Linked DNA regions of Saccharomyces cerevisiae S288C. The gene in region 3 interacts genetically with the main gene of each other region. Each region holds a gene or a part of one and is shown on either strand. Other genes may lie near its edges. The genes, in order: LAS21, EAF7, CSF1 and BRE1.

Evidence for each region.
Region 1: mutations in CSF1 (region 3) and LAS21 together harm fitness more than expected from each alone (negative genetic interaction), as found in Saccharomyces cerevisiae (5 studies listed by BioGRID, with this or other methods).
Region 2: mutations in CSF1 (region 3) and EAF7 together harm fitness more than expected from each alone (negative genetic interaction), as found in Saccharomyces cerevisiae (8 studies listed by BioGRID, with this or other methods).
Region 4: mutations in CSF1 (region 3) and BRE1 together harm fitness more than expected from each alone (negative genetic interaction), as found in Saccharomyces cerevisiae (6 studies listed by BioGRID, with this or other methods).

Annotation. Positions count from the first base shown.
Region 1 is NC_001142.9:315,343-323,887, forward strand, and holds LAS21 (mannose-ethanolamine phosphotransferase LAS21), read left to right. Parts: upstream 1-1,941; coding exon 1,942-4,434; downstream 4,435-8,545. Other genes in the region: DLS1 (Dls1p), read right to left, coding at 1-215; mitochondrial 54S ribosomal protein bL17m MRPL8, read right to left, coding at 417-1,133; COA3 (Coa3p), read left to right, coding at 1,381-1,638; linker nucleoporin NUP82, read left to right, coding at 4,674-6,815; BNA3 (kynurenine--oxoglutarate transaminase), read left to right, coding at 8,044-8,545. UniProt on the Saccharomyces cerevisiae protein: Ethanolamine phosphate transferase involved in glycosylphosphatidylinositol-anchor biosynthesis. Transfers ethanolamine phosphate to the GPI second mannose.
Region 2 is NC_001146.8:368,863-375,756, reverse strand, and holds EAF7 (Eaf7p), read right to left. Parts: upstream 5,390-6,894; coding exon 4,112-5,389; downstream 1-4,111. Other genes in the region: ribosome biosynthesis protein KRE33, read right to left, coding at 1-436; FYV6 (Fyv6p), read left to right, coding at 1,065-1,586; YNL134C (uncharacterized protein), read left to right, coding at 2,176-3,306; peptidylprolyl isomerase FPR1, read left to right, coding at 3,531-3,875; mitochondrial 37S ribosomal protein uS4m NAM9, read left to right, coding at 5,702-6,894. UniProt on the Saccharomyces cerevisiae protein: Component of the NuA4 histone acetyltransferase complex which is involved in transcriptional activation of selected genes principally by acetylation of nucleosomal histone H4 and H2A. The NuA4 complex is also involved in DNA repair.
Region 3 is NC_001144.5:311,499-319,694, forward strand, and holds the start of CSF1 (Csf1p), read right to left. Parts: upstream 4,234-8,196; coding exon 1-4,233. Other genes in the region: GPI-anchor transamidase subunit GAA1, read left to right, coding at 4,609-6,453; alanine transaminase ALT1, read right to left, coding at 6,739-8,196. UniProt on the Saccharomyces cerevisiae protein: Tube-forming lipid transport protein which provides phosphatidylethanolamine for glycosylphosphatidylinositol (GPI) anchor synthesis in the endoplasmic reticulum. Required for the glucose and other nutrients uptake at low temperature.
Region 4 is NC_001136.10:321,538-329,516, forward strand, and holds BRE1 (E3 ubiquitin-protein ligase BRE1), read right to left. Parts: upstream 4,613-7,979; coding exon 2,510-4,612; downstream 1-2,509. Other genes in the region: RXT3 (Rxt3p), read right to left, coding at 1-15; 60S ribosomal protein eL31 RPL31A, read left to right, coding at 689-745, 1,167-1,451; AHK1 (Ahk1p), read left to right, coding at 5,076-7,979. UniProt on the Saccharomyces cerevisiae protein: E3 ubiquitin-protein ligase that mediates monoubiquitination of histone H2B to form H2BK123ub1 in association with the E2 enzyme RAD6/UBC2.

The DNA.
Region 1 (8,545 bases), on a different chromosome or scaffold from region 3:
TGTTGTTGTTGCTGCTGCTGTTGCCTATGTAGGGACTCATGTGTCAGCACCTGGACGAAGAATTCTGTAGCAAACGCTGTGGCTACGAATGCGTCATCCGAAGTGTCCATATATTCTGGATCATTCTTGGCTATTCTCTGCACTTTTTCTACAGGTAACTTGGGCGAACACAGAGGTGCAGACGCCGTTTCTTTACCACTAGTCTCGTTGTTCATTGTGTTAGCCTGATCACATCGAGCGAGCTATCCTGACGCTATTCTCTCTTGTTTCTTCTGTTTTGTTTCTCTTACATTTTTCATTTTTTTCTCTAGTTGGAAAAAAAAAAAAACACTATATTAGAATACGCACATTGTTAGCGCTGTTCTTTCAATTGTCATCTATATATTTACAAGGGAATACACAAAATCCTGGTTTTTTTAAGGTCTGGGAACCATGACATAGGAGGAGGGTTTCTTCGTCTTCTTTGGCAATGACGAAGAGTAGACCTCCTTCAAAAGTGCCTGCGTCCTTTCGTTTTCGAGTGCCTCATCATAGGGAAGGGACATTTCCTTGAGTAAGACCTGCTTGATGAGCATAATTTCACCATGTAGCTGCGCTTCTGCTTTAAACTTGGCCACTTTGTGAAGATTCTGCAATGTGAGTGGGTTATGAGGTAGCTGGTTGGCGTCATCGTTGATGACTGACTTGACTAACAGCCACATCTTTAAATTGCCCCTGTTCACCGTATGCGATTCGGACATCACGGGAGAGTCGACTAGTTCCAAGACGGATTGCGGCGCTGAGTCGTTAGCCCTAGGCTCTAACCGCAGCACACGCGTGTACCCACCGGGCCTTTCCAAGTACCGCGGTGCGATCTCGCTGAACAACCGCTTCATCAACTTTCTGTTGTCTCCTGCTAAAAACAATTGGCTCTGAATTTGGGACTTTAATTCCGCCTGTGCAACACTATTACTTGTCGTTATTGCCCTCTTTGTCCAGGTAATGATCCGCTCTGCGACCCTGGAAGCCTCTTTACATTTGGCATGCGTTGACACTATAGATTCATGCTGAAACAACTGGCACGCAAGGTTTTTTAGCAGCGCATCCCTATGCGCCTTGTCCCTAGAGAGTTTCCTAGCAATACCCACTGTCATTGTTGCGCTCGACTGTGCTTCTCACCGTTTTTTCTCCTTGGCGTAGCCAAATCTCTTGACCGTTATAAGCTGTTTTAGCTTGTCAAATCCCACTTGTTCTTGTTAACCAACTTTTCCCGCCTCGTACGCGGTGACAGACAAAGCAGTGATTTTTGCTCATTGTATAAAGGGAGTCTTTACTATGGTGGCATAAGCAACAATACTACGTGAGCAGCAACGAAAGCACATATATAGACGACAAAGTAGTATGGTTTTGAATCCGTCCAAGTACCAAGACACCCGCACGTGGAAGATGACGCCTGCCATGATCAGGGCCCGTAAACCCTTTTTCAAAGGCAATATGCTCGGTCTCACGCTGCTGCTGGGTGTCACGGGCTCTGTTTACTACTACACATATCATTTTCTGCACAAGGACAACGACTTTGCAGACGTGCCCATTCCACCCATCGATCCGCAGGAGCTCGAGGCTCTCAAAAAGGAGTACGAAGCCAAGAAGAAGGCATGAAAAGACCGTTAATGTGGAGGTACGCTGTGGTCTTCCATCAATAGGCTTTGCGCTGTTCTTCTCTCCTCTTTTGTAAATAGTTTACCTACTTGCGTATATGTATATATATATATATATAGATATGCTTATACGGATATATACATACATTCTGTTTGTTTATACTCTTTGTCCTACTCTAACAGCCAGCTCTTTAGTTTAAGAATATGATGAAAAACTCAGTTTGGGAAAAAAAAGGAAAATGTTAAAGTATAAACAATATCGAAATAAGTTCATCTACCACGCACACTTCACCAAGTTAGCAAGATGAACTTGAAGCAGTTCACGTGCCTATCATGCGCTCAATTACTCGCTATTCTGCTCTTTATCTTTGCTTTTTTCCCTAGAAAAATCGTGCTGACAGGTATATCAAAGCAAGATCCGGATCAAGACCGTGATCTCCAGCGCGATAGGCCCTTCCAGAAATTGGTGTTTGTGATCATTGATGCTCTCAGATCAGACTTTCTTTTTGATTCGCAGATTTCCCACTTCAACAACGTGCACCAATGGCTCAATACGGGCGAAGCATGGGGTTACACGTCATTTGCTAATCCGCCTACCGTGACGCTGCCTAGACTCAAAAGTATTACTACGGGATCTACACCTAGCTTCATTGACTTGCTGCTGAATGTAGCCCAGGACATAGATTCCAACGATCTTTCGGAGCACGATTCCTGGCTGCAGCAGTTCATCCAACATAATAACACGATTCGTTTCATGGGCGATGACACCTGGCTGAAACTGTTCCCACAGCAATGGTTTGACTTCGCTGACCCGACACACTCGTTCTTTGTCAGTGATTTCACTCAAGTCGATAATAATGTGACGAGGAACTTGCCCGGGAAATTATTTCAGGAATGGGCCCAGTGGGACGTGGCTATCCTGCATTACTTGGGTCTTGACCATATCGGGCATAAAGATGGCCCGCATTCAAAGTTTATGGCTGCTAAACATCAAGAAATGGACAGCATTCTGAAGTCAATATATGATGAAGTGTTGGAACATGAAGATGACGATGATACACTGATTTGTGTTCTTGGCGACCATGGAATGAACGAACTGGGCAACCATGGTGGCTCTTCAGCCGGCGAAACATCAGCAGGATTGTTGTTTTTGTCACCTAAGCTGGCGCAATTTGCTAGGCCAGAATCGCAAGTAAACTACACATTGCCCATCAACGCTAGTCCGGACTGGAATTTCCAGTATTTAGAGACTGTTCAACAAATTGATATCGTCCCCACCATAGCAGCACTGTTTGGTATGCCAATCCCCATGAACAGTGTTGGGATAATAATACCTGACTTTTTACAACTGTTGCCCAATAAGTTGGCAAGTATGAAAGAAAATTTTATGCATTTGTGGAAATTATCAGACCATCACGGCGAGGTTGCTCTTGACGATTTCACTGCCGAAGATATTTATACAAAGATGTACACTATTCAAGAAACGTTAACCAAGTCTGCAACAAATTATAATTATCCTCTTTTGACACTGGCTTTTGTTGGTTTCCTCATAATAACAATCATCGCCATTTATGTATTATTACGTTATTCTGGGCCTGATTTTTGGCAGTTGCGCGTTTCTTCCCTGTCTGTTCTGTTAGTTTCCATTATACTAGGCGTTTCCACATTTGCAAGTAGTTTCATTGAAGAGGAGCACCAACTGTGGTGGTGGATAGTAACTGCATTCTCGGCGGTCCCTCTGTTCGTATACCGATTGAATGTGCTCATAATCGTGCGCTGGTTTATAATGATGGCATGCGTACGCTCAATCAAGTTTTGGAATAACAGTGGCCAGAAATTCATTTATTCTAACGTTATGTCCAATCTACTTAATCAGAATCCTTCCTGGAAGTGGTGCTTAAATATGTTGACATTTCTAGTGCTGATAATGGCATCTGCTGGTTTTCAAGTACTACATTTTATTGTCACTACTATTTTGGTGGGGTTGTGTTTCACGTACAAAATCTCGTGGGAAATCGTCAATGGTAACCAGGCAGAAATACCGCTCTTTATGCATGATTTACTGGCTAAGATAGACTTTGCACCAACTGAAAGTAACTTGATTGTACTTGCGCGCGTTTTCTTCCAAGCTTGGGCTATTGTTGTCATTTCAAGGTTGGTCCTGACGAAATTGAAAGTACTTAACAAGAACTACCTCATTAAAGATATGAAAGTTTATATAACAATTCTTTTGATGTTCCAAACTTCTTCTCAGAACATAGGTCAATTTCTCGTTTTCCAAATATTAGAGTCCCAAATTTTTTACTTTTTCCAAAATATTCCAACCGCCTCATTAACATCAACAAGTAAGATTTATTTTTCGAATTTGGTGTCCTTAATTTTACAAAATTTTACATTTTTCCAATTCGGTGGCACAAATTCCATTTCTACTATAGACCTTGGAAACGCATACCATGGTGTTTCCTCAGACTACAACATCTACGTAGTGGGGATATTAATGTCCGTTGCCAATTTCGCGCCGGCAATATACTGGTCCATGCTACCGTGGTCAATAAACTACGCCTCTATTCCAGCACAAGTTAAGTTGCAAACGTTCATCAGAAGTAAGTTACCTGCCTTCACCTATCATTGTATATTTGGAACTTGTTTGATGACGGCATGCGTCGTTTTGAGATTTCATCTCTTTATTTGGTCCGTTTTCAGTCCAAAATTATGTTATTTTCTTGGGTGGAATTTTGTGATGGGATTGCTGAATGGCTGGTTACCTGAATTGGCCCTCCTTTGCGCTCTTGATTAACATAGAATTGTTCACGTGGTCTAAATATGTATACATATATGATAGTTTATAGATTCATACTGAGACAAGTGAAAAAAAAAAAATCTACTATCGACCTTCTCTCTTTTCGCGGCAGCAAAAATGAAAAATTAACTTCAATAAAAAAGTTGAATACTTTCAAATATTCTAATTGCATTTAATATTTAAGCAACAAAAGGACAGCGATAATTGAGTGGTGGCTTAATTCTATACTCCAAAGTATGTCCCAATCTAGTAGGTTAAGTGCACTTCCTATTTTCCAAGCATCGCTTTCGGCAAGCCAATCTCCACGTTACATTTTTAGTTCTCAGAATGGCACAAGGATTGTTTTCATTCAAGATAACATAATAAGGTGGTACAATGTACTCACTGATTCACTTTACCACAGTTTGAACTTTAGTCGTCATCTCGTCTTGGATGATACCTTCCATGTAATATCTAGTACGTCTGGTGACCTACTCTGTCTTTTCAATGACAACGAGATTTTTGTAATGGAAGTTCCTTGGGGCTATTCCAACGTTGAAGACGTTTCCATTCAAGATGCATTCCAAATTTTCCACTATTCAATTGATGAAGAAGAAGTTGGTCCGAAATCGTCCATTAAGAAAGTTTTGTTTCATCCAAAGAGTTATCGTGATTCTTGTATAGTGGTTTTGAAAGAGGATGACACTATCACGATGTTTGACATCCTTAATTCGCAAGAAAAGCCTATCGTTTTGAACAAACCGAACAACTCCTTTGGTTTAGATGCACGTGTTAACGACATCACAGATTTAGAATTCAGTAAGGACGGATTGACGTTATATTGTCTAAACACCACAGAAGGCGGTGATATCTTTGCATTTTATCCATTTTTACCGTCAGTATTACTGTTAAATGAGAAAGATCTCAACTTGATCCTAAACAAATCTTTAGTAATGTACGAGTCCCTGGATTCTACAACAGATGTTATAGTTAAAAGGAATGTTATTAAGCAGTTACAGTTTGTGTCAAAACTGCATGAAAATTGGAATTCAAGATTTGGCAAAGTCGACATACAAAAGGAATATCGTTTAGCCAAGGTTCAAGGACCATTCACGATAAACCCCTTTCCCGGCGAGCTGTATGACTATACTGCTACAAATATTGCAACCATACTAATTGATAATGGGCAAAATGAAATTGTTTGTGTCAGTTTTGATGATGGGTCTTTAATCTTACTCTTCAAAGATTTGGAAATGTCAATGTCGTGGGATGTTGACAATTACGTGTATAATAATTCTTTGGTTCTAATTGAACGAGTCAAACTACAAAGAGAAATTAAGTCTCTAATAACGTTACCTGAACAGTTGGGAAAACTTTATGTCATTTCCGATAATATTATACAACAAGTAAATTTTATGAGCTGGGCTTCTACATTGAGTAAATGTATCAACGAATCGGATTTGAATCCACTTGCAGGATTGAAATTTGAAAGTAAACTTGAGGATATTGCCACCATAGAAAGAATTCCAAACCTAGCGTATATCAACTGGAATGACCAATCTAATTTAGCCTTGATGTCGAATAAAACATTGACTTTTCAAAATATTTCAAGCGATATGAAACCGCAAAGCACCGCAGCTGAAACAAGTATCAGTACAGAAAAAAGTGACACGGTAGGAGATGGTTTTAAAATGAGTTTCACACAGCCCATAAATGAGATTCTTATTTTGAACGATAATTTTCAAAAAGCCTGTATTAGTCCATGTGAACGAATTATCCCATCAGCAGACCGCCAGATACCTTTAAAAAACGAAGCTAGTGAAAATCAGTTGGAAATTTTCACGGATATTTCCAAAGAATTTTTGCAAAGAATTGTTAAAGCTCAAACTTTGGGTGTTTCTATCCACAATAGAATTCATGAGCAACAGTTCGAATTGACGCGCCAACTACAATCGACATGCAAAATAATTTCAAAGGATGATGATTTAAGGAGAAAATTCGAAGCACAAAATAAGAAATGGGATGCACAACTAAGCAGACAGTCAGAATTAATGGAGAGATTTAGTAAATTGAGCAAGAAGCTATCTCAAATCGCCGAATCCAATAAATTTAAAGAAAAGAAAATAAGCCATGGTGAGATGAAATGGTTCAAAGAGATACGAAACCAAATATTGCAATTCAACAGCTTTGTTCACTCTCAAAAATCCCTTCAACAAGATTTATCGTACTTGAAGAGTGAACTAACTCGTATCGAGGCAGAAACTATCAAAGTCGATAAAAAGAGCCAAAACGAATGGGATGAGCTACGCAAAATGCTTGAAATAGATTCAAAGATAATTAAAGAATGCAATGAAGAATTGTTACAAGTTTCTCAGGAATTTACTACTAAAACTCAATGAGTAAGCGACTTGCATAGTCTGCTATCATATATGTACGCTAAGAAACAACTGGGCAATGGTATAATATCATGTAGCAAGAGGACATTATATATGAATTGGTCAATATATAAAGCCTTCTGTGCACCAAATCGTTAGGATGATTTTTCAGTATGCTGTATCATTGTATCGTATATTCATTCGTATCTCTTTTACCTCACTAACCGCTGCCAAAATTTACATGTATACAAAATAAAAGTCTTTTTTATGACCTTATTTGGTGAGTAATGCTACTTTTGTAAAGAGTGATGGAAACTATTATTCCAAAGGGTTAGAAGAAGGTGAGGAATACGTTCATATCACCGCTACAGATCGTGTCTCTCGGTTATGAGTAATCAAACCCTCTGCAAGCAACACAGTTACTTTTTTTCGGTTTTTTCTTTTCGTGTGAATTTTTATCCAGTGAGTTTCCTTGTTCACTTTCGAGAATGGAAGGCTGATTTCGAATTTTTATATTCAACAACTGTATTTGTATTAGGCTTTGCAATAGTAGATGAAAAGTGCAGAAGACGAATCTGCTACCCTCACAATACAAAGAAAAACAAAATCGTCATTTTAATATAGGAAGACACCGCTCAGGTAATTCAATATTGAATCTGGTTGCACTTTTCTTACGATGTAAATACCCACAAACTTCTTGTACGGTGAGCGTCTGACAACGAAATCAATTTACGGAGCAAGGATTTTGACAGTAGAGCAGATTGTTTTGAGTAGGATTTAGGAATCAAGACCTCCATCTTTGTCGCATTATTCCTAAATGTAACGTAACTCGTTTGATAAGAGAATGTCTAATCGAAGAGAGTTAATAACTTAATAAGCTCTTTAAAAGAACGATGGCATTTATCGTCTCCTATGCCAAGATAATTACTGGCTCAAAATTGTTCAGCGTTCATAAAACTTTGATATCACTTTCTGGCGCACAAGCTAACCTTTATGTAGTTCTTACGTAGATTCTTTTTAGCAAGTGCCTGGTAGTGGTTATTACATAAATGTATCTTTTCATTTGATAACAATTTCTTCAGTAGCATGTCGTGTCTAGCACGTGACGTAGAACTGTGGCTTTTTTGTTGTCATTATGACAATCAAGATACCAAAATTCAGTCATGTTTAAAAGGGGAAGGTACGATAGAGATATATATAAAGTGTTCAATTTACTATAATTGCGTATAGAATCCATTGTTACTTGCTCTCAATGAAACAACGATTCATTCGTCAATTTACGAACCTAATGTCTACTTCGAGACCGAAAGTTGTTGCCAACAAATATTTCACTTCTAACACTGCCAAAGATGTTTGGTCGCTAACCAATGAAGCCGCTGCAAAAGCTGCCAATAACTCCAAAAACCAAGGCCGTGAACTTATTAATTTAGGCCAAGGCTTTTTTTCATATTCCCCTCCTCAATTCGCCATTAAGGAGGCTCAGAAAGCCCTAGACATTCCAATGGTCAATCAATATTCTCCAACTAGAGGTCGACCTTCATTAATTAATTCCTTGATTAAGTTGTATTCTCCTATTTATAACACAGAATTGAAAGCGGAAAATGTTACCGTAACAACAGGTGCCAATGAAGGTATACTTTCTTGCTTGATGGGGCTTTTGAACGCTGGCGACGAGGTTATTGTTTTTGAACCTTTCTTTGACCAATATATTCCAAATATCGAACTTTGCGGTGGTAAAGTTGTTTACGTCCCCA
Region 2 (6,894 bases), on a different chromosome or scaffold from region 3:
CACCACCTTCTACAGTTTCAATGGTTCTTGCTAAAAGATTTGGGGTTAATGCCTCGAAGTCCTGAAGAATACACATACCATAGGTATTACCCAATATTTTCTCACTCTCTTTGTAGTATACATATCTGATATTTTGGTTAGAGATAAAAGATTCAAAAGGGTCCATTTCATTCACTTCCCTTGTACCTCTTTTAATTTCTTTCTTAATTTTATTCTCTCTTTTTTTTCTGTGCGAAGTGAATCCTAGAAGCTTCTTCTTATAAGCCCATAAGACGGACTTGTTCATCTTAAGGTCAGCACTCATCATCAAATAATGTAAATTTGGGAGCTGGTTACGTGCCCTGTCCCCAACGATGACAAATATGGACCTTTGTTTGGTTTGAACACCATTCCTGATCAGTGACGGGATTCTTGAATCGATAGCTTTTTTGGCCATTTTCTCCTTGTTTTATAAGTCTCTTATAAGTCTTTGCAAGTTAAAAACTAAGAAATATAAAAGGTGACTTGGCTTATATACTCTATTGCGTACTTTATTTGAGATAAATACAGAATCTCCATGCATCTTCAGCACCTCATCTCATCTCATTGTATCTTGGCTCTTCATTTTTTTTTTTCAAAATTTTTCACACGATTCCGGGTAAACTATTACTTTTTACAACTAATTCAGATATACCTGGGAAGTTACAATGGAAAACATGCAATGTTCGGTCTGGCTTGTATCATTTGATTGGAAAAGCGAGCATCGGTTGATACTGAACACATCCACATGCGTAATCATTAAAAAAAATTTTTCAAATTGCGAACTCTGTGGATCGAACACAGGACCTCCAGATGACTTGACCGAAGTTTTTCTTCAGTCTGGCGCTCTCCCAACTGAGCTAAGTCCGCTTATTTTTCTGAAACCTTTTCCGCCTTTTTGTCGTCCCTAGGAATTACTTTTGATGCACTGCCAATCTGAGGGAAAAATGACGTTTAAACGCACGAGAATGTGCAATTAGATGTAAGTCCATCGAAGCCTAGAGAAAGCGGTTCCAACAAAAGACTGTGGGCTCTGTTATATCATCATGTCATCTACCAGTGATAATAATGCTAATAGTGCAAGAGAGAAAAAACCACTGAAATTCGTGTCAGAAGGAGTTGGTAATGTAGAGGCCCAGAGGATACGAGAGCAAGTGGAGCAAAAAAAATATGAAGCGGAATATAAAAGGAAAACCAGGAAGTCCCTGCGAGATCAGCTTAGGTCTAATGCTATTAGTAAACAAAAACAATATAACGGTTTGGTGAGAGACCGTGAAAGTTTTACTAGGTTGAGTAAAGAGGACCTGGAATTTTACCAGAAGAGCAAGAATGAGTTGCTAAAAAAGGAAAAAGAACTGAATAACTACTTAGACGTCAAGGCAATCAATTTTGAAAAGAAAAAAAAAGCATTACTAATGGAGAACGATTCTACTACTAATACAGAAAAATATTTAGAGACCGGCACTAGTTTGGGCAGTAAAACACAAATAAAGGGCGTAAAGACATCCAGCCCTAAACCAAAAATCAAGGTATCCATAAAAAAATTGGGTAGAAAACTGGAGAACTGATGTGATGGCCTACACACTTCGTCACAACTAGAGCTTTATGCCAAGATTAAACTTCAAGTTATATAAATTATGTAAACATTGGACATACAAAACTCGGAAACTCTTTTTCTATTCATCTTCCCTTCTCGTACGTGCCCACGGAAGCAATAAAAAGAACCGAAATAACCAACACCCGTAACGTCAAAGCATTCATGCTTAGAATGGAAACCATTTCGTGGAATGAAATGGCAAATTGATCACATTGATTGCTCGTTCCACTACCTGTGTCCGCAATTTTTTAATGGTCATCACAGCCCCTGCTGACTAAAGTTCCTCGGATCCGCTTACGGTTGTCGCGCGGTTCCGCCCCTGCGTACTCTTAGTACCTAGCATATGGGCTCCCTCCGTTGGATTGGCATCGATTAGTAAGGACAGATGTTAAGGATTTAAGACCGTTTTTAAGGTATTTCGGCAATGCTTCGATTTAAAAGGAGAGAGTTTTTTTTTTGCCGTTTTCTTCCTCTCACTTCTTGATTAGTACTGTAATTCTAGTTGAAAAAAAATCGTTAACTATACACAGCAAAAAGCAATATCATACTGCATATCAAGCATGTCCGCCTCGATTCCAGAAACCATGAAAGCCGTTGTCATTGAAAATGGCAAGGCTGTAGTCAAACAGGACATTCCAATTCCTGAATTAGAAGAAGGATTTGTTCTAATTAAGACTGTCGCCGTTGCCGGTAACCCTACCGATTGGAAACATATTGATTTCAAGATTGGTCCTCAAGGTGCCCTCTTAGGCTGTGATGCAGCCGGCCAAATCGTAAAGTTGGGCCCAAATGTTGATGCTGCACGCTTTGCCATTGGTGATTACATTTATGGGGTTATTCACGGTGCTTCAGTGAGGTTCCCCTCAAACGGTGCCTTTGCTGAGTACTCTGCCATTTCATCCGAGACTGCTTATAAACCAGCCAGAGAGTTTAGATTGTGCGGTAAAGACAAGCTACCAGAAGGCCCCGTAAAATCTTTAGAAGGGGCAGTATCCCTCCCAGTCTCATTGACCACGGCTGGTATGATCCTTACACATAGTTTTGGCTTGGACATGACATGGAAGCCCTCCAAAGCGCAAAGAGATCAACCCATCTTATTTTGGGGTGGTGCCACTGCTGTTGGCCAGATGCTTATTCAATTGGCAAAAAAACTAAACGGTTTCAGCAAGATCATCGTCGTTGCTTCTCGTAAACATGAAAAATTGTTGAAAGAGTACGGTGCAGATGAACTTTTTGACTACCACGATGCTGACGTTATCGAACAGATAAAAAAGAAGTACAACAACATTCCTTACTTGGTGGACTGTGTCTCCAACACAGAAACTATTCAACAGGTGTACAAATGTGCCGCTGATGACTTAGACGCTACGGTCGTTCAATTGACCGTTTTAACCGAAAAAGATATCAAGGAGGAAGACAGGAGGCAAAACGTCAGTATTGAAGGAACCCTTCTATATTTGATAGGAGGTAACGACGTCCCATTTGGCACGTTTACTTTGCCAGCAGACCCTGAATACAAGGAAGCCGCCATAAAATTTATTAAGTTCATCAATCCAAAAATCAATGATGGTGAAATCCACCACATCCCAGTGAAAGTTTACAAGAACGGGTTAGATGATATCCCACAGTTACTTGATGATATTAAGCACGGGAGGAATTCTGGCGAAAAGTTGGTTGCCGTCTTGAAATAAATAATCTATAGCTACTTATGTATATAGCGCTTGATCATTCTGTTTACCTCCACATTATAGTGCCGTTCAATTCCCCTCACCCGCCTTAGTCTTTTTCGGGCAAAAAAAATTGCCGGAAGAGAGACGTCGTTGAAAGAATTTGGTGGATAAACTCGTGAAAGCTTAAAGTAAGGCCTTTCACCTAAACTCGAGTATAAGCAAAAAATCAATCAAAACAAGTAATAATGTCTGAAGTAATTGAAGGTAACGTCAAAATTGACAGAATTTCCCCAGGTGATGGTGCCACCTTCCCAAAGACAGGTGACTTGGTTACCATTCATTACACCGGTACCTTGGAGAACGGCCAAAAATTCGATTCCTCCGTTGACAGGGGCTCTCCATTCCAATGTAACATCGGTGTCGGCCAAGTCATCAAGGGTTGGGATGTTGGTATTCCAAAGTTGTCTGTTGGTGAAAAAGCTAGGTTAACCATCCCTGGCCCATATGCTTATGGCCCACGTGGTTTCCCAGGTTTGATTCCACCAAACAGTACTTTGGTTTTCGACGTCGAATTGTTGAAGGTCAACTAAAAGCAAAGTACTATCAATTGAGCCGCCTTTCTGCTTTTTATTTATGTTTATGGTAAGTATCTGAGCCTTAATTGAAATAGATATATAATTACAAAAGATTAGACAAGGAGAAGCATACGTATATTCTATTTCTTCATTAAGGTTATTTTATTCTATATCTGCTACACTACATTAAATACAGATACCTCTATGGAACGGATGAGCGTTTATTATCGCGATCTATATATGAGCAGTGATTATTTTTTATTTCGTAGCCTGCTGGAAACTCTTGTGGCAGGAGGGCTATTTTTACGAGAGCCTGCCTTCCGCCTTTTCCTTTTCGGCGAGGTTTCATTGCTAGTATTACCTGTGGATGATGAATGCCTAGTTCTCTTTGCTAATGGTTCATTTTTGTCCTTAGAATCCTTTTTGGTATCATCCTGTTGATCATCTCCTTTTTTGTTTTCCGTTTTTTTCTTTAAGTTGCCCCCTTCTGATTCAATTTGTTTTCCTTTACCTTCTGCCTCACGTTCAGACTCGTATCCCAGTTCTTCGTCAACTCCTTCGTCAACTCCTTCGCTTTCAGAGCCATTGGTATTTTCATAAGAGGTGGATTTTTCACGCTCATCATCACCTTCTTCGTTTTCGTTTTTTTCCTTATCTACTTCTTCATTGTGGGTTATTTTTGGCTCCTGGATCTCCTCTTTCTTTTCTTTCTGTTCTTCGTCTTTCGTATTATCTTCTTCTATCTCTTCCTTTTCTTCATCTTCAAATTTAACTTCCTTACTTCTTTTCAACCTTTGAGATTTTCTTACTGGAGCTGCTGTTTTATTTGTACTTTTCATTTTCTGTTCTTCTTCACTCATATGTTCCCTCTGGAGTTCCTTTTCATCGCTTTGCACCTCCTTAATGGGTTCTTTCTGGACGTCTATGGGGCTATCATTTTCCTCTGTATGATATTCAGGCAACTCTTTCACTTTAATTGTCGCATTTTTTTCCTGTTTATTGTTGTCGTTCTTTAGGTCTGTAGAAGGACTTTCCTTTGGAATTGTACTATCTTTCTCATTCATATCTTCAACTCGAGGATACTCTTCGTTAGAGTTTGGACTTTTTCTTGCATTTTCTAAGATCAACTCACCGTATTCCTCCCAAGGTAATGTAAAATCTTGCTTGCGTACTCTTATTCGATTATTCAATTCAAGTAAAGTTTCTTCATGAATTTCTGCATCGTCACCATTTCCATTGCCATTCCGTGAACTCTCTGTAGTGGCTTCCAAGGAATATGTATTCTCCATTTCATCAATTTTCTCTAAATTGTAAGATTGGCTCAACTTATCCCATATGTCTTTTGCAGTAAATACCTTCCCCAACTTCATGGTTTCTTTCTGTAATAGCGTCACTGGATACTTATCTGGCGAATTCATTCTTTCCACTATGCAAAACATGTGGAAATGCTTATGAATTCCGGCCGGTTTGAATTCAGATGCCCATCTAAGAAGTCGTATTTCATCCACAATTGTCCAATGTACTACCATCACATCCACGATTCCCTTTTCTTCACTAGCAGCTAGCAACTTCTAATAAACTCCGCCAATCCATCTTCATAGATTATATGATTGATTTCTTCGTTAAGCACGATTTTACTTTTCATGGTGGCAGCCGGATACGTTTCGCTTCGCAGTATTAGTTAAGGAACTATGCTGAAGATATACAAAAAGAGAGAGCGAACGGTCAAAAAGGTGAAGGTTTCCCCAGAGGAAGTGCAACTAATTCGAATATATATCGAGTAGGAGCTCCTTTATACTTTTTTGGTACGGAAGACTGGTTACAATTAAAATACAGAGATAATGCCAAGAAAGGCTAATTTGCTAAAATCTTTGGCAAGAGGACGAGTACGCACTTCTTTCAATAAGTATAATTTGTTTAATTTGTACAAAAAGGGTGGTGTAGACTTGAAGTCTAAATCTTTGTATCAACAGAAGTGGACGGCAAAGCAGGAAACCCGAGCTTATCATGGTGAACATTTGACAGAAAAGAGATGGCAAACCGTTTTCAAACCCAAATTGGATTCAGTAGCACAATTGGATGCTTCACTGCGTGGAGGTGAAATCAAGGAAACACCATTTTTATTACAAACTTTTGCAGTATTAGAAAAAAGGCTTGATTTTGCCCTTTTCAGGGCTATGTTTGCTTCGTCAGTAAGACAAGCTCGTCAGTTCATCTTGCATGGAAATGTTCGCGTTAATGGTGTAAAAATTAAGCATCCAAGCTATACTTTAAAGCCTGGAGATATGTTCAGTGTCAAACCGGACAAAGTGCTGGAAGCTCTCGGTGCCAAGAAACCAAGTTTCCAAGAAGCGCTAAAGATCGATAAGACTCAAATAGTTTTATGGAACAAGTATGTTAAGGAAGCGAAAACGGAGCCAAAGGAAGTTTGGGAGAAGAAGTTGGAAAATTTTGAAAAGATGTCGGATTCTAACCCAAAGAAACTTCAGTTTCAAGAATTTTTGAGGCAATATAATAAGAATCTGGAGTCACAGCAATATAACGCATTAAAGGGATGCACACAGGAAGGTATCTTGAGAAAGCTTTTAAATGTAGAGAAGGAAATAGGTAAGTCGAATAATGAGCCCTTGTCGATAGATGAACTCAAACAGGGTCTCCCTGAGATCCAGGACTCTCAGTTGTTAGAAAGTCTAAATAACGCTTATCAAGAGTTTTTCAAATCCGGTGAAATTAGAAGAGAAATCATTTCTAAATGTCAGCCTGACGAGTTGATTTCACTGGCTACAGAAATGATGAATCCTAACGAAACCACAAAAAAAGAATTATCTGATGGAGCCAAATCCGCTTTAAGATCTGGAAAAAGAATCATAGCGGAAAGCGTGAAACTATGGACGAAAAATATAACAGACCACTTCAAAACTAGGATGAGTGATATTTCTGATGGTTCACTAACGTTCGACCCCAAATGGGCCAAAAATTTAAAATATCATGATCCGATTAAATTATCTGAATTGGAAGGTGATGAACCAAAAGC
Region 3 (8,196 bases):
ATTACTTCTGGTGTTCTGAATAGAATTAAAAGAAGTGCAAACCTCTTGAATAAGATTTCCCTGGTCACTACAGTACTCAAACAGCCATTCCATTTGAGATTCGTCTATGGTAATATCTGATGACGTTAAGTTTAATGAGTTAACTTGTCTATCTTCTGTAGAAGACCATACTTCGAAACCCTCAATCCCTAGCGACAGTGCAGGGGGACGATCTTCAGACAAGTCTGGATTTTTCTTCTGGTTAACAGTCACTCTGACAGTTTTTACCTTTGCTAAAGCTGCTACTTCTAATAATTTATTTGTTCGGTTCTTCTCTAGAGACTTTTCACTCATTTGATAATCAATACGATCTAAATAGAGCTCAAAACCTTCCTCACCTGTCTCTTGCCAGATTAAATTTAGATAAGCAATATGGATATCAATGTTTGAAATAGAAGTGATCCCTTCTTGAAGGTTGCTTAATCGTTTCACAATCCCAATTTCAATATCGTCTAAGACTTGTACCATGTTTTCAGAGTAAAGCTGTTCTAATAAACTCTTAGCGAAAATAAAAAGCAACGGGTCGACATCCAACAGAATATATGAAACATCAACAACATAGTTATCCCTTTCGTGGTTTCTGTCTTCTGTAAAAGCGACAGGTTTGAAGCTTGAAGGGTCCGCTTCTTCGTCATTATCATCTTCACTGAAGCTGGCTCTTGAAGGCTCCATAGTTGATGGAGTTTCTGCGAATATGTTCTTGAATGGATTTGTGGTCTCCAGAAGGGTAGCATACTCGCCCACAATATCTTCAATGATATAATCTATAGTATCAGGCAAAGTGGGAAGAGGTAAAGTTGGGATAGACGAAGATGGTGCTATAGCCCCGTACAGGTTTTGGTATGTATCCGAATCCTGATAGAACAGCGGAAGAAGAAAAGGACACCTATGATAGGGTGAATCGTGTATTGTTATATATCTGCGTTGTTCTGATCTTTTTTTATCGATATCCTTGTATTGCTCAAAGTTTGTAAATCTTAATTTTGTTTCGAATTTGAGAAATGATGTGTCTACGCCATCGCCCATCACGCAATTTAACGAAATTGTCAATTTTGGAATTTTCACGTCTATTCTTTGTGAATATTTTTCGTTTTCAAAGTCGATCAAAGTAAACAATATCGATTCAGCACTAATAACTGATTGAGATTTCATCACCGGATCTTTAAGGCCTATTCTTATTTTTTCAACGTGCACGGTTAGCGAGGTCATATCATTAATGGTCTCAGTGTCATATAATAATATATTTTCCAAGTCATTGTAGCCAAAACCTATCTTATAAAAGGAATTAAAGAATCCCTTTATAAATTCAATATCTGAATCAATGCATAAATCTCCGAGATTGATATCCCATTGACAAAAGTAGGTAGGTTCTGTGGGTGGTAATCCATACATTCTATGTCCATGAATGGTGAGGTCCGAAAGCAATCCGTGCTCTTGCTCATCAGCTCCGTTATTACGACGTATAAAATCAAATACTTCATTTATTTGTTTTGAAACGTGCCGCTTTATTGAAGTCCCGTTGAGAACCGCCATTATGTCCATATAATAATTACAACTTCTGAAATCCACTACAAGTTCGGCAAAATGTAGTGCAATGCATGGATCAAAACTGTAAATCGTTTCTGGTAATATCAGAGCACCATCCCAAACCGAAAATGTGAACCAAATATCAGTTTCGTTGGTAGTCCTTTTCAAATCTGACCTTTTCATAGGACCTTTATCCTCAGATTCGTTCTTTAGACTGCTATTTTGGTACCCTGAATCTACAGTAGATGCCAAATCTGCCACCGAGCTTTTCGTAGTGACATCTCCGACTTCCCTAGCGCCAAGGACACCTGTGTACTCTTCTGACGTCACAAAATTAAAAAATTCACCGAAGTAATTCATCTTTACGTTTGTTAAATACCTCATGACAAACCCATAGCAGTGAAGTACTGTACTCTTGCTGTTACACTCTATGACTAGCGTATCGACATTATCAATATCTAACTCGGAATAGAGAAGGTAAGAACCTTTAATTGTAAAGTCGTATGCTCTCCCCACTTCTTTATGTTTCATGAATTCGTTCAATGTATTCCAAGGGGGGGTATTTAACATCATTCTGAACATTGGAGTTGAGATCTCGTAGGACATATCTGTGTATGTCCCCAAAATACTCTCACGGGGTACCGTGACATCAATTGAAAGCTTATCACCATGAAGGGATAAATAACAGTTTTCGTTAAAATCTAACGGATTGTTAACAATATTGTGATCATTGACGTTTAAGTAAATGGAATATCCTTCCATTTCCCAATTGACTTTGTATACGAATGGTCTAAAAAGTTCGTAAGGCGTAGGATCACCAGCGGAAAAGTCTGAAAGCGTATCTGCAACTAAAGTTATATGCTCACGTAGCAGAAACGCCTCTAATTGTTCTGACTTCATGTTAATTATCCATATAGCTTTGCTATTCCAACCCAATGGATATCCAATATCCCCATCAATATCGAATACCTTGCTTTTTAACAAAATATCGTGATTAACACTTGACCTAATTTCGGTTTCCAGGAAATGAACATGGAAATTATTCTGAAAACCTTGCACTGTAGGACAAACACTTATATTGAAATTTGCATAGGTGTCCTTACAAAATCGGAGATCCATCCATCCAAATGGCCTATATTCTTCATTAGTTTCTTTGTAGTGTTTCAAAAATTCGGGGTCTTTGCTACTTTCCCTCGTCGGTATACGCCAAGTAGTATCTTCCATTATTGATATATTCATCCTGAAAAGTGTATATATTCTTCTAGAACCTGGCGGGAGTTTTTTTATAGGTTTGGCTGTCCTTGAAACTACCGGTGATAGAACTCTTTGTAGATGACTGACTTGTCTTTGAGCCCAAGGTCCGTAACAGATGGATCCTCCGTGAATTTGAACATCTAAAGCAAAATCTGGAGGTGCTCCGTTATTGCCCACATCTGGTCCATCAATATCAGGTATTGTCGGATGTGCACCATGTGGCACAACGCCCGGAACATCCACGTCATATGCAATTGTGACCTTTGGGCATTTTAAAATTGATGTAAATTTAGCATATTCATGGTTCGTCAAATCGAACTCAACATCATCTAAATCACTTGCTTTAGCGTCGCCCGCAGAAGCCTTATAAAGAGATAAACCTTTCCATTTATGATAGAAATTGTCATCTGATGTGCCTGCGCTTTTTTTAGTCTTTTTCGGTACAACAGGCTTGGTTACTATCTGAAAGACTCGTACAAACGTTTTCCATAACTTTGACACTTTCCCTCTATCTATTTTAAACTTCAATCCAATAGCATCATCGTAACCAATATTTTGTTTGATAGAAATTTCGAAGTTTTTGAATTCCATCTGTGTTTTATTTCTGTATAAATCTAATCGCTCTTTTGGAGGTAAAACATCTATTATGCCTTTTCCACTTTCATAACTTAGAATCATAACAGATGGCGTGAATTTGTTTCCTAACAGTAGGGAACCGCGGCTAAATTTAAGCTCAATTGGTAAAAACATCAGTAGCTTTGGATGTTTGCCGATATCTGTTTCTTGGTAGTCCCTGTCATTAACAATTGATGCATCAGAGTTCGTTGTGTATGCAGATTCGCTTAGATCTTCATCTAATTTATCAGCACTACTTCCATCGCTAAAAGGTTCAGGAAAAGAATGCTCATTAAGGTATTTTTCAAATTTATCGCGTTCATCTTTTGATAGTAAGTTTATAACATTATCGTACGCCACTGTTCTGTTGTAAATAAAAATTTCTAGACCTTCACATTCTACGGAAATTTTACAGGGAAGCTTTGCTTTTTTGCCAGAAGAAGACTTGTTATTCTCTATCAATTCTGCTTTTCTGCAATTTAAAAGCCAGTATTTCCATGTTAAACTACCCTCTAATACCGAAATTGTATAATCTTTGTGTATTACGGAAAGGTTTTTAAAATGTATTCGACCACCTAGTAAGGAGACACGAAGTGTCTCAACATTTATCTTGATTTTCGCTCGTTTCCATAGTAGCCATTCTAATATAAAACTTACAAGGTATGCATAGATTCTTCCCATGTAGAATATCATTGTCAAACATACTACTACCGTGAGAATCCAATCTACTAAAAAGACCCAGCTAAAGTCCTTTTGGTGTGTCAATGGAACACCACGTAATTGTGAAATAGCTTCCATGCTTGCTAACTTATTACCGTCAATAGAAGACTTGAGTCAGGTGGCTTTAATGAGTACTATTCTTTTTTTTTTTCCAAAGAGCACTATGTTGATAATACCGCAGTAATTTTTTTTGAGTATCCTGTAGCCTAGAAAGGTTGAAGCTTATAAAACCGTGCCAACAGCTTTATAGTGGGGAGTTTGGCTTCCCTCTATTTGTATATTGATCGCCATCCCTACGAAGTTATTGGGAACGCATCGTGAACCTCTCACTTTAATGCCAGCGGTAGAAAAAAAAGTCATAAACAATACACGCCGGCTACACTTAGAAAGAAATGACATTTGCTGTCTTATAAAAGGACTTGACAGACCAAAGACGCGTATAATACACCAAGAATGGCCTTATTGGAGAAGTTGCATCGAAGGATTGTTGATATGGGGCTTGTCCCGCGTATAATCGCCTTATTACCAGTTATTTCCATGCTATGCGCTCTATTTGGGTTTATTTCTATAGCTATTCTGCCTATGGATGGACAGTACAGAAGAACATACATTTCTGAGAATGCATTGATGCCTTCACAAGCGTATAGTTACTTTAGAGAATCTGAATGGAACATTTTGAGGGGCTATCGATCTCAAATTAAAGAAATGGTAAACATGACTTCTATGGAAAGAAACAATTTGATGGGTTCTTGGTTACAAGAATTTGGTACTAAGACTGCTATTTACGAAAATGAACAATATGGAGAAACATTGTACGGTGTAATGCACGCTCCTAGGGGTGATGGAACAGAAGCGATGGTGCTTGCCGTTCCATGGTTTAATTCAGATGATGAATTCAATATTGGCGGCGCAGCTTTGGGTGTATCTTTAGCAAGATTTTTCTCACGTTGGCCAGTATGGTCCAAGAATATAATTGTTGTCTTCAGCGAAAATCCTCGTGCAGCATTAAGATCATGGGTTGAGGCATACCATACTTCCTTAGATTTGACTGGTGGTTCCATTGAAGCTGCTGTTGTGTTGGATTATTCGAGTACGGAAGATTTCTTCGAGTATGTAGAAATCTCATACGACGGTCTGAATGGTGAGCTGCCCAATTTGGATCTTGTCAACATCGCTATATCCATTACGGAACATGAAGGTATGAAAGTTTCTTTGCACGGTCTACCCAGTGATCAGTTAACTAATAATAATTTCTGGTCAAGATTAAAAATATTATGCCTGGGAATAAGGGATTGGGCGTTGTCCGGTGTTAAAAAGCCCCATGGTAACGAGGCATTTAGCGGCTGGAGGATTCAATCTGTAACATTGAAAGCACATGGAAACAGTGGTCATGATATTACTACATTTGGACGTATACCCGAAGCAATGTTTCGCTCTATTAATAACCTTTTGGAAAAATTTCACCAATCGTTCTTCTTTTATTTGTTATTAGCACCACGTCAGTTCGTATCCATTAGTAGTTATTTGCCAAGCGCTGTGGCTTTATCTATAGCATTCGCCATAAGTTCATTAAATGCATTTATAAACAATGCTTATGCAAATATATCCTTATTTTCCGAGTATAATTTGGTAGCGTTGTTGGTTTGGTTCGTGTCATTGGTGATATCATTTGTTGTTTCACAAGCGTTTCTTCTAATACCTTCATCGGGATTATTGATGACAATTAGCATGGCATCTTGTTTTTTACCTTTGATACTTTCCAGAAAAATTCACATCTCAGAACCACTATCATACAGGTTGAAAAATGTTGCTTTTTTATATTTCAGTTTGGTTTCAACATCTTTGCTAATGATAAACTTTGCAATGGCTTTACTGATCGGCACATTGGCATTTCCTATGACATTTGTGAAGACCATTGTTGAAAGTTCTAGCGAACATGAGGTGACAACTCAATCCTCTAACCCAATAAAAACTGAGCCGAAAGATGAGATAGAGCTCGTCGAGAATCACATGGATACAACGCCAGCAACCCCCCAACAACAGAAACAAAAACTAAAAAATTTAGTACTATTAATTTTGACAAATCCATTTATTTCAATAACCTTATTCGGACTATTTTTTGATGATGAATTTCATGGATTTGATATAATAAACAAACTGGTTTCAGCATGGTTGGATTTGAAATGTTGGAGTTGGTTTGTACTTTGTATAGGTTGGCTTCCATGTTGGCTATTGATATTAGCGTCATCGTTTGAATCTAAATCTGTCGTAGTAAGGTCGAAAGAAAAGCAAAGTTAGGTGCCATTGGTAAGAAGTAAAGGATTAACGGGTGTTCGAACTACGCAATTGATTTTATACGCACAAACATTACAAATCGAAGCAAAAGAAGATGAAATGATATGATATACTGATACAAATATGTATTAAATAAAACATAAGTATTGATGGAAACATGGCATAGAGAAGCGAAGATGCGATAATATCAAATAACTATATGTGAGTTGTGGAAGAAAGAAACGATCACATTATTATAATAAACTAGCTATTTAAATGTTTATTGAAGACTGTTCTGCCCCCTTTTATTCAGTCACGGTATTGGTCAAAAAATTCTTTATGGAAACTTTCCCATTTCTTAATCCATTCCAGACCAGGTGCCAAAAATGTTGTTCTTAAATGGTAAGTACCAGGTTCTTGACCAAACCCAGAACCGGGAACAGTGCAAATGCCAGTAGATTCTAACAACTTCTTACAATAAAATTCATCCGGAGTTAACTCTAAGTGGCGAGCTTCTTGAACTGCCTTGAAAGGTAAGTCTATCTTAGGGAATAAATACATGGCACCTTGAGGCTTTTGACATTCAATGCCTTCTAAAGAGTTAAATGTCTCATACAGTGTCATTGCTCTTGTAATTAACTTTTCATGGATGGAGTTACGTTCTGCTTGGTCCGACTCGAATGATTCCTCCCCTTCCACTGGTGGACGAACCATCAAATCAACCAAAGCTTGACCTGTGACAACGGGACACAATGAAATCGAGGCTAGTTTCAAGATAACTTGTCTCATCTCATGGCTGAATCCAGTGAGTTCCATGTAGCCACCCCTTTGACCACATTCACCAGAAACACCCTTAGAAGTCGAATGCAAAGAAGCTAGCTGAACATTATCGAATTTACCTGGATGTTCCCTCTGTAAATGTCTCAAAATTTTCTTCATAGAATGGAACTTGGTGCCCGGGAAGATATTTTCTTGATAAACTTCGTCAGCTATCACTACTGTACCGTACTTGGCTGCGACTTCAAAAATCTGAGCTATAGACTCAGGTGATAGGACAGCTCCTGTAGGATTACCTGGATTGATAACCACTAGAACTGTAGGTTTGATTTCGTTCTGTATAGCCTCTTTGACGACAGTTTCAATTTCTTCTGGATTAGTTGACCAACCTGAATTCTCATCTAAATAGTATGGTAAAGCTTGAGAATTGTTCAAAGCTAGAGTAGCGGTATATAATGGATATTGAGGAATTGGAATCAAGACACCCGTTTCTGGCCCTCTACAGAAAATTGATAACAAGTAATTGACAGCTGCGGATGCACCAGCAGTTAGGAAAATATCCTCTGGGTATGATATCTCGCCTTCGTCCCTCTTCGTTATAAATTCAGCGACACTTTTCCTTATACCTTCTACACCTTGAGAAGAAGAGTAAGCACCAACAGAACCACCGATATCTTCCATTAAACTCTTTGCACGTTTAATGGCATCTAGTTTAAACAATTTCGAATCAACTAGCTGCTGTTCGTTTTGGTTTAATAGTTCTGGGTATTGTAAGAGAGACAAGACCTGTCTGTAGTAAGTCAGAGGTTTCTGTTGTAGTTGCTGAGGATTACCAATATTGGCGTTGATAATCCTGTCAAATGGCAGAGATTGAGGATCCTTCTCCAGTTGAGCTTTCAATTCTTCAGCTCTCATTGGGATGGCACCTCTAACGGCGTACTTAGCCTTCAAGACATTTTCATTTACGTCTTCCAAAGTCAATTGTTCGGC
Region 4 (7,979 bases), on a different chromosome or scaffold from region 3:
TTCGCTTACCGACATTTTTATCTTATATTGTATTGTTACTTCTCTCAAAAAAAAAACTGCGAGTAAATTTTCCCTTACCTTCGTACTAAAATACCGTTATTTGTCAAAACGCTGTCATGGAATTCTATAGCACTTGATGCCGGAATGGAGATGCTTATTCTTGTGTTCTACATTCATGAAGTGCTGATACTATATTTTGTTTTCCCGAACCTCTCCCCTTCTGGGCCCTTTTTCCATTATTCACAATATTTTCATACCTTTACCTCCGTACACCAATCTTTATTTTTACCCCCATACCTTTGTATTCTGAAATTGAGAAATGATTTGTGGTGCTTTTTTTTTTGGACAATCTGCCTTCGTGGACAGTTTTGAAACGCTAGGCGACAGTTTTGCAACGGAAGGAAGTGGGAGAGCCCAGAAAGGCTTTCTCTCGATGGTGGATCATTCTTGCGCAGGCGGAGGATGGGAAAGCTCCGTTCAGGTTTGCGGCTTTTCTTTCTGGCATTTTCGTTCTCCCAACTGCGCAGGCAGACATAGCTTGACTTTACTCATGCTCGCATTAGGCGGGTTGAATCTCATAGCTTGAAAGATAGTATTGAATTATATTGAAGATTTTATAACTAGTGATAATTTCATTCAAGTTTTAAAGAAAGAATTAATAAGCAAACAGAACTCAATCAAAGGAAAAATGGCCGGTTTGAAAGACGTTGTCACTCGTGAATACACCATTAACTTGCACAAAAGAGTATGTGAAAGAATAAAAATATAATGCCCAAGGGCTTGTCATCTGAATGGTTAATTAAGAAGATATTTCTATAGTCAAGGAATACAATATCAAGAATTTGTACCACAGAAACCTATCAACAAAGATCATTGATCAAGATATATTTTATAATACGGAATTTGAAGACCATAATCAATATTATAACATCCAAGAGGGGAAAGATACACTTCGGCTGGACTTAAAGAGCGATGAAGACAGAAATAGTTATCTTAAATAGTGGAATCCTAGATTTTAAGTCGACAATTATCCATATCCCAAGTTTGACTAAATATGAATCAGAACAAATTGGGTCTCCAATATACAAAACCATTCATCAAGATTACACTAATATTAAAATGAACAATCGTTACTAACAAAAAATTTACCATTTTATTTTTAATAGTTGCACGGTGTCTCCTTCAAGAAGAGAGCTCCAAGAGCTGTCAAGGAAATTAAGAAGTTCGCCAAGTTACACATGGGTACTGATGATGTCCGTCTAGCTCCAGAATTGAACCAAGCTATCTGGAAGAGAGGTGTCAAGGGTGTTGAATACAGATTAAGATTGAGAATTTCCAGAAAGAGAAACGAAGAAGAAGACGCCAAGAACCCATTGTTCTCCTACGTTGAACCTGTCTTAGTTGCTTCTGCCAAGGGTCTACAAACTGTTGTTGTCGAAGAAGATGCTTAAATCAATTAAATAAAAATAATACTCATTTTATATTAATAAATATAAAGTAAACATTTTCGATTTGTATAAATCTCTTGTACTCAAGCCAAGACTTCTGTATTCATTGAAGCGGGGCACTCAGATCAATTTTTATCAATGATATCATCTGCTACGCTTGTACAAAGGGTTACCTTCGAATTATTTAAAAGATGCAAGTCTACGTATAAGTGAAGGCGATAAAAATGGATAAATCAGTGTAACTATGACTATAAGGTTATGTTGGCCACTCATCACATTAAAAGACTCCCAATATTCTCCAACAGAAACGAAGTATACCGTGCGTCTGATTATGGTCCACCAGAACGATGAGATCATAAAGACACAAAGTAAATGAGAAGTTTTACAATATTGAAAAAATACTGTAAAAGGATGGTCTTAAAAAGTAGTTTTGAAGTACTTCTGTTCTTAATAGACCAACGGAAAATTAAAATCTTCATCATTAAAAGTCCATAATTCATTCGCTTTCAGCAAAACATAGAGCAGCAAGAAGCTAAAGAAATGACAAGAACTATCGGCAGAGTGAACTCACTATACCATTAATCTTATCACCCGTTTATAAATCTATTCTTGTCCTTTCCAGTTGATATGATTCTGCTATTATCCTTGTTCCCCCCAAGGACTGCAGTAGAAGAGTTATGTTACAAATGTTGATATATATATATATATATATATATATATATGTATGGACATTTGTGATGAAAATATATCTTGAACAAGCGCGATTAAGGTCATAATAAAAAATCACAGAAAATTTTTCAGGTCGCGGGCGTTCTCTCACCCGGCCGCCCAAAGTATTATATGAATCTTTAGGGCTTGTAGGAATTATCAGCATGATATGTACAATTAGAGTTTTTCTTTGGAAACATGCGACAGTAGACGTCACTCTTTGATTCAGAAGTTAGGCTAGGATGTACGCAAATAAAATAAAAGCAATGACAAAACTAGATTTACATATATTATATGTATATGTATGTGGAGGATATAACACAAACAGTGGAAAAGTGGTAGAATAATTAGTATTACAAGTGCACTGTCAATAAATCATTGGAACTGAATGCTTTGTTGCATGTAGGGCATTTTCTCATTCTCGCTGCCAATCGTTCCTTACAGCAATTCTCACAAAAGACATGGCCACAGGTTTTAATAGCCATGTTTTTCCAATTTTTAGAACACAGGGAACAATAAACAAGTGTACGGAAATTTGCTAGTTCTTCTACGAGTGCTTCATCGCTCGAGCCCTTATTTTTGTTGTTACCACGGAACAATGTATCATGTAGTTTTTCACACTTGGATTCTAGATGAGATGCCTTCTGCTTGAAGTGCTTCAATTCTATTTCTGTATCATTTAATTTAGTTTCTAGATGCGTCATATCTGCAATGCTTTTGTTACTTTCTTCTTGTAGCTTTTCTAATGACCTTTTCAGTTTAGTGGATGTATTATTTAAATCAATTATTTTTAGTGTCTCTGTTTTACTGGAATCAATTAACCTGCGTTCATTATTTTGAGAAAGATCCAGTTGTTTATGTAAATTTCCTATTTTTTGCTGTAGCAATCTATCAGAGTCCTTTAACTGTAGAATAAGCTCATTTGATTTACTGAGGCTTTTAGAAAGAGTTTTGATTTCAATTAAAATTGAATCTTTGGACCTCATCGCGGCAAAATATTTCTGATCAGCCTTAGTTTTTTCTACGGTAAGCTTGGATATAACAGATTCGTGATTAATAATCTCAGAGTACTTTTTATGAGTTAAGTCGGATAACTCTCTAAAACCCTTCTCTAAGTCTTGAATTTCCTTTATTAATGCATCTTGAGTCGACGAGGATTTTGTATCGTTTGATCTTTGATCAATTTTTGTCCATTGCTCCTTCAAAATATCAATTGCATGTTGTAAATCGCTCAACACTTCAGTCTTGGATTTTTCAGCTTCCAAAATGGCGATTTTGCTTAGTAAATCATCACGAGCCGTTCTTATTCTTACAACGTCCTTTTCCAATGAACTGTTCATTTCTACTAGGGAGTCGAGACTTTTCTGGAATTCTTCTCGGACCTTCTTCGTATATATTTCTTTCTCTTTGGCTAAAACTTGAAATTTTGATAAAAAGGAACTATTGATCTCAGATAATTCTGCGTTTTGTTCAGTCAAATGTTGAATTTTTGCTAACAGGGACTCATGGTCATATGACTTGAAATCTGGGTCTTGGTCTGCTGCTGCTATCTGTTGCTTTTTTAAATTGGATACCTCAGAACGTGTTTTGATGAGCTCTTCCTCGTTTTCCCTTCTGATATTTTCAAGGTCTTTTATAGTGGAACTCAAGGAGTTTATCTCTGCCCGTAAATCAGAAAATTTCAGATCCAATTCTAATTTTTCATTCTCAGCATCTTCTTTTCGTTCATCCTCCGCCTGCACAAGTTCATCACCTTTCTCGGATTTTTTGGATGTATTATCACCATTAATTGCAGAGGAGTCTTTATTTCCAGATTTTATATTGTTTTCATTAGATTCTTTTTCATCTTCCCGTAATTCCTTTACAGCATCAGTCTTATCTTCCTTAAAAACACGTTTTATAGTAAAGGATTCATCTCTATCATACTTGCGAATTATATTTGTATAATATTCCTTCAAAGCAGAAATCTCCTCTGTCAATTGCGAATTTTCATAAAAGAGCTCCTCTTTACTTTTCCGCAAGTTTTTTAACTCCGTTGTTAATTCTTGAATATGATCCGAAGCATTACTATTAGTATTACTATCTGTCGTGTTTGGCTTCCCATATTTAGTCAGTAGCTTCATGAAAGAATCACTGCGCTGAACTATCAACGTCTCATCGCCTTGGGCTATTTCCCTACATAGTTGCTTCTCGTTGGCGTCTGTGCAGAATGTTTCGATAAACCTAGCTAAAGTTACTATCAGCGCCATAATATTTGCCAACTTGCGGGAAACATCTATGCACTCCCTTCTTGAAAGTTCATATTGCTTTCGCAAGGCTTCAAAGTCGACTCTTCGACGATTTATACATCTAAACAAAGCTTCTTTTTGAAACGCTATCACATCAGATTGAGTAAGCGGTTCACTAGGATCGCTTAATTCTAGCTTGATCTTCTTAGTAGCAGGCTCGGCCGTCATATCTGATTATTATCAGCTAGCACGATTAGCATAAAAACGGTGAAAGCCCTTTCTATCTCTGTTAAAAACCTTGGGGCGCTCTCTGTTAGTTTACCGTTCAAACAACATCCATCCAACTTTTTTTAATCTTCTTCTTTTTTGTTTTTTCGCCTTCTTTAAGAAAGTTTCGTTGGATGTGATTATAATCACGTGATCAAATGCTTTTGTCACTTTTATATAATAACGATGGTTTGATCAAAGTACGATCAGTTGGTGCTTCATTTCAAAGTTAGAAGACATCCTTAGTGCCTATTGTCGATCTGCTCTTTCTTTTTGAATCCACTGAAATTAACGATCTCAGAATTTCACCAGTGATTTTCCCAATATTATCTTTCGTGGGTAGAGAAACAATTCTGAACTCGATTGTGCTTCGTATGCTATATACGCATTGTTGTAGCACTAAAGATCATATTGCTCATTAAGCATGGGTCCTGCCATACATAATCAACTATATGAATGTGGATTAAAGACTACGTCTCAAGATGGCTTCTTGATGGACAATTATGAAACTCAATTATTTCAATCGTTGAACAGGTTTATCAATTTCATAAACAATGCTAATCAGTCAGCTAGTAATAAAGAACAAAATACAAAATTTTGCAAATCCTCCTCAAATTTTTTACGCTTGAAACTACTAACGGTTCTAAGACAATGGTGTGATTCTTCACGAAGCAACTGTACACTGGAGGTTAGAGATGTTTTGACCCAATGGTGGGTCACACTTTTAAACTTTCTAAATTCTGACACCTCGCTTCAAATAGATACTGCCCTTGAATTGAGCTTGAGCATAGAACTAACTTCCGTGTGTCTCGAGTGCCTCAGCAAAATTATGACCATACTAATAATATTGCCTTTCCATTCATCCAGAGACATGGAAATATACTCACATCATCTTTTGCTGACCATTCATTGCATAACAAACAAGTTGATTTTGATTTCTAAAAACTCCAAAAAACTTAAACGTACAAATAGTGATGACAAGTGCTCTATAAACGACAAGAAGCTGCAATACCTTAACAAATATTCTTCCTTGCTGCGAGCATTCATCGGGAAGTTAAATGCTTACGCATTTTTTTATCTACCAGAAGACTTTCATTTCGATACAATTTTGTTATTGACAGTTTCTCCTCAAATCTCTTCAAGTATTCAAACATCTTTGTTTTCATGGAAGAAGAGACAATATAAATTCACCGACGATCAGGGACAAATGATCCGCACTGAAGCTTTTGAAAATAAAGATACTAAATTTTTTAAGATCATTGTTTCTTATATTAAAAATGATTTTGTACTTATGTCATTTTATTGGCACTATTGGTATATCATACTTCAATTTATGAAATTCTCTGATTCAGATGTAGGAATTAAAAAATCGACATTGTCATGCATACCTGGCTCAGAAATTTTATTGACGCATGTAACCACTAGATTCTTGAATTCAGATTTGAATAAATTCACGCGGATTATTAAACAAACGCCGAATCCAAGGATAGCAAATGAGAATGTGACAGAGTCACATCCAAATTTCAAGAGTTTGAATAGTAGCAATGCTTTAATTACATCTGAAAGGATTAATGATTACGTATTTTCTAATTTTAAGACAATCAAATTATGGGAATGTCTTAGAAGCCTTTCAGGATGCATTCTTAAAGAAAATCATCCGGAATACCTGGAAAATATGCTTTCCTTACATGAGTCTCTATTGATAGACTATGTCTCCACTATTTCAGCGTACGATTATATTGCAGCGAACGTCATTTACAATAAGGTTCTCCAGTTTATTATTTTCCAGTTTGAAAGTTTACCTTCTCTGAAATTCATTCAATGGAGGTCGTGGTACAATGGGCTTTTGAGTATGTTAAGGACCAAAAATGTTAACTGCCAGACTGTTTCTTTATTATGCCTTTTCAATATTTGGAAGCACGTAACCATTGAGGACCGCGATGAAATAGTAAAAGTGCTGTTAAGTGATTTTTGGGAGTCATTGATTTTTGAAAACGAATTTCCTTTGATTAGAATTTTATTTATGAAGGTATTAGTTTTTAAAATCATTCCAAGTGTTCAAAATTCTTCTTCATTACGATTCTTGCCACATGATAGAATTAAACAACTATATGAAGAGCTACTGGTAAACAAGGAGGAGTTATTTGAGATGCAAAAACACGATTCAAATGATATAGTGGCGCATAGAAAGAATGCTCTCGTTTTTAATGGTAACTCACGTTTGATGATGATTCCAAAAAAACCAAATACAGAGGACCACTTAGTTTATAAGATTAATCATGATAAAAATTTAACTACAGAAAGATTTCCCTCTGTCAGCTCAGTGGCAAATACAAGACCTAACGTTATCTTGAAAAATGGTAAATACGCTTATGATATTTTGGACGAAATGACAAGTAAAGCTGCCTTTCTTCTTGCAGAAAAGAAGACCCGACTAAATCCCAAAAAAAATCACAAAATTATGGATGGCTACGAAGGAGGTCAGGAAAACGAAGATAATGATGAAGACTCAGAAGATAGTGGCTCGCATAAAAATAAGAGAAAGGAAGGTAATAGTTCTTTATCGGCAACACTGAACACTTGGCTTTCAAAATTTTCAAGTACTTCTGAAGATTCACAGAAGAAGAAGGAACAGGCAAATGAATTAGGCAACGATTTTGAATATGATGAAGATGTGGCTGATTTTGCAGAAATTTTGCCGAAGCAGTCATCTAGTAATATTGAAAAAATTTTTAAGCATGGTAACAATTCAGGATCAATGGTATCATATAATTCAAGTATCAAGCTCAATAGGAGGGAGAATATATTGATAGGTCCACCAGAGTTGAGATTTTCTAATGAAATCAAGGAACACAATAGTATTGCTACAATATTCAAACTGGTATTTATTCAAACCAATAGAAGAGTCGTCGAAAAAATAGATTTGGCGAACATGAAATGGGGGACAATCCACGGAGGCAGTAAGTACATGAAGCCTTTACCCGTCCCGAAAGATTTGGTTGCGAGTGTTGCTAAGAACGAAAGTGAGACGAGAAACTTAGCTACCTTATGCGGTAATGGTCTAGATTTTGAGATACCGGTGCCTGATTTTAATATTTTTGGCAAATGTATGGAAGATGAGCAAGATGTAGCCAAAATTGGTAATCAGAATGTGGAAGATTTGAAAGTTACTGGGGGGCGGGAGGTGACAATTTGGAAGCAGATCCAAGATATGAAGTTGAGAACAAGGATACAAAAAATCTGTGTTTTAATTGAGACGTTCAATGCTACAGTAAGAGAATATTTTGAGTTTTCCAATCGATTAGAGCATGACGGTATATTTATAGAT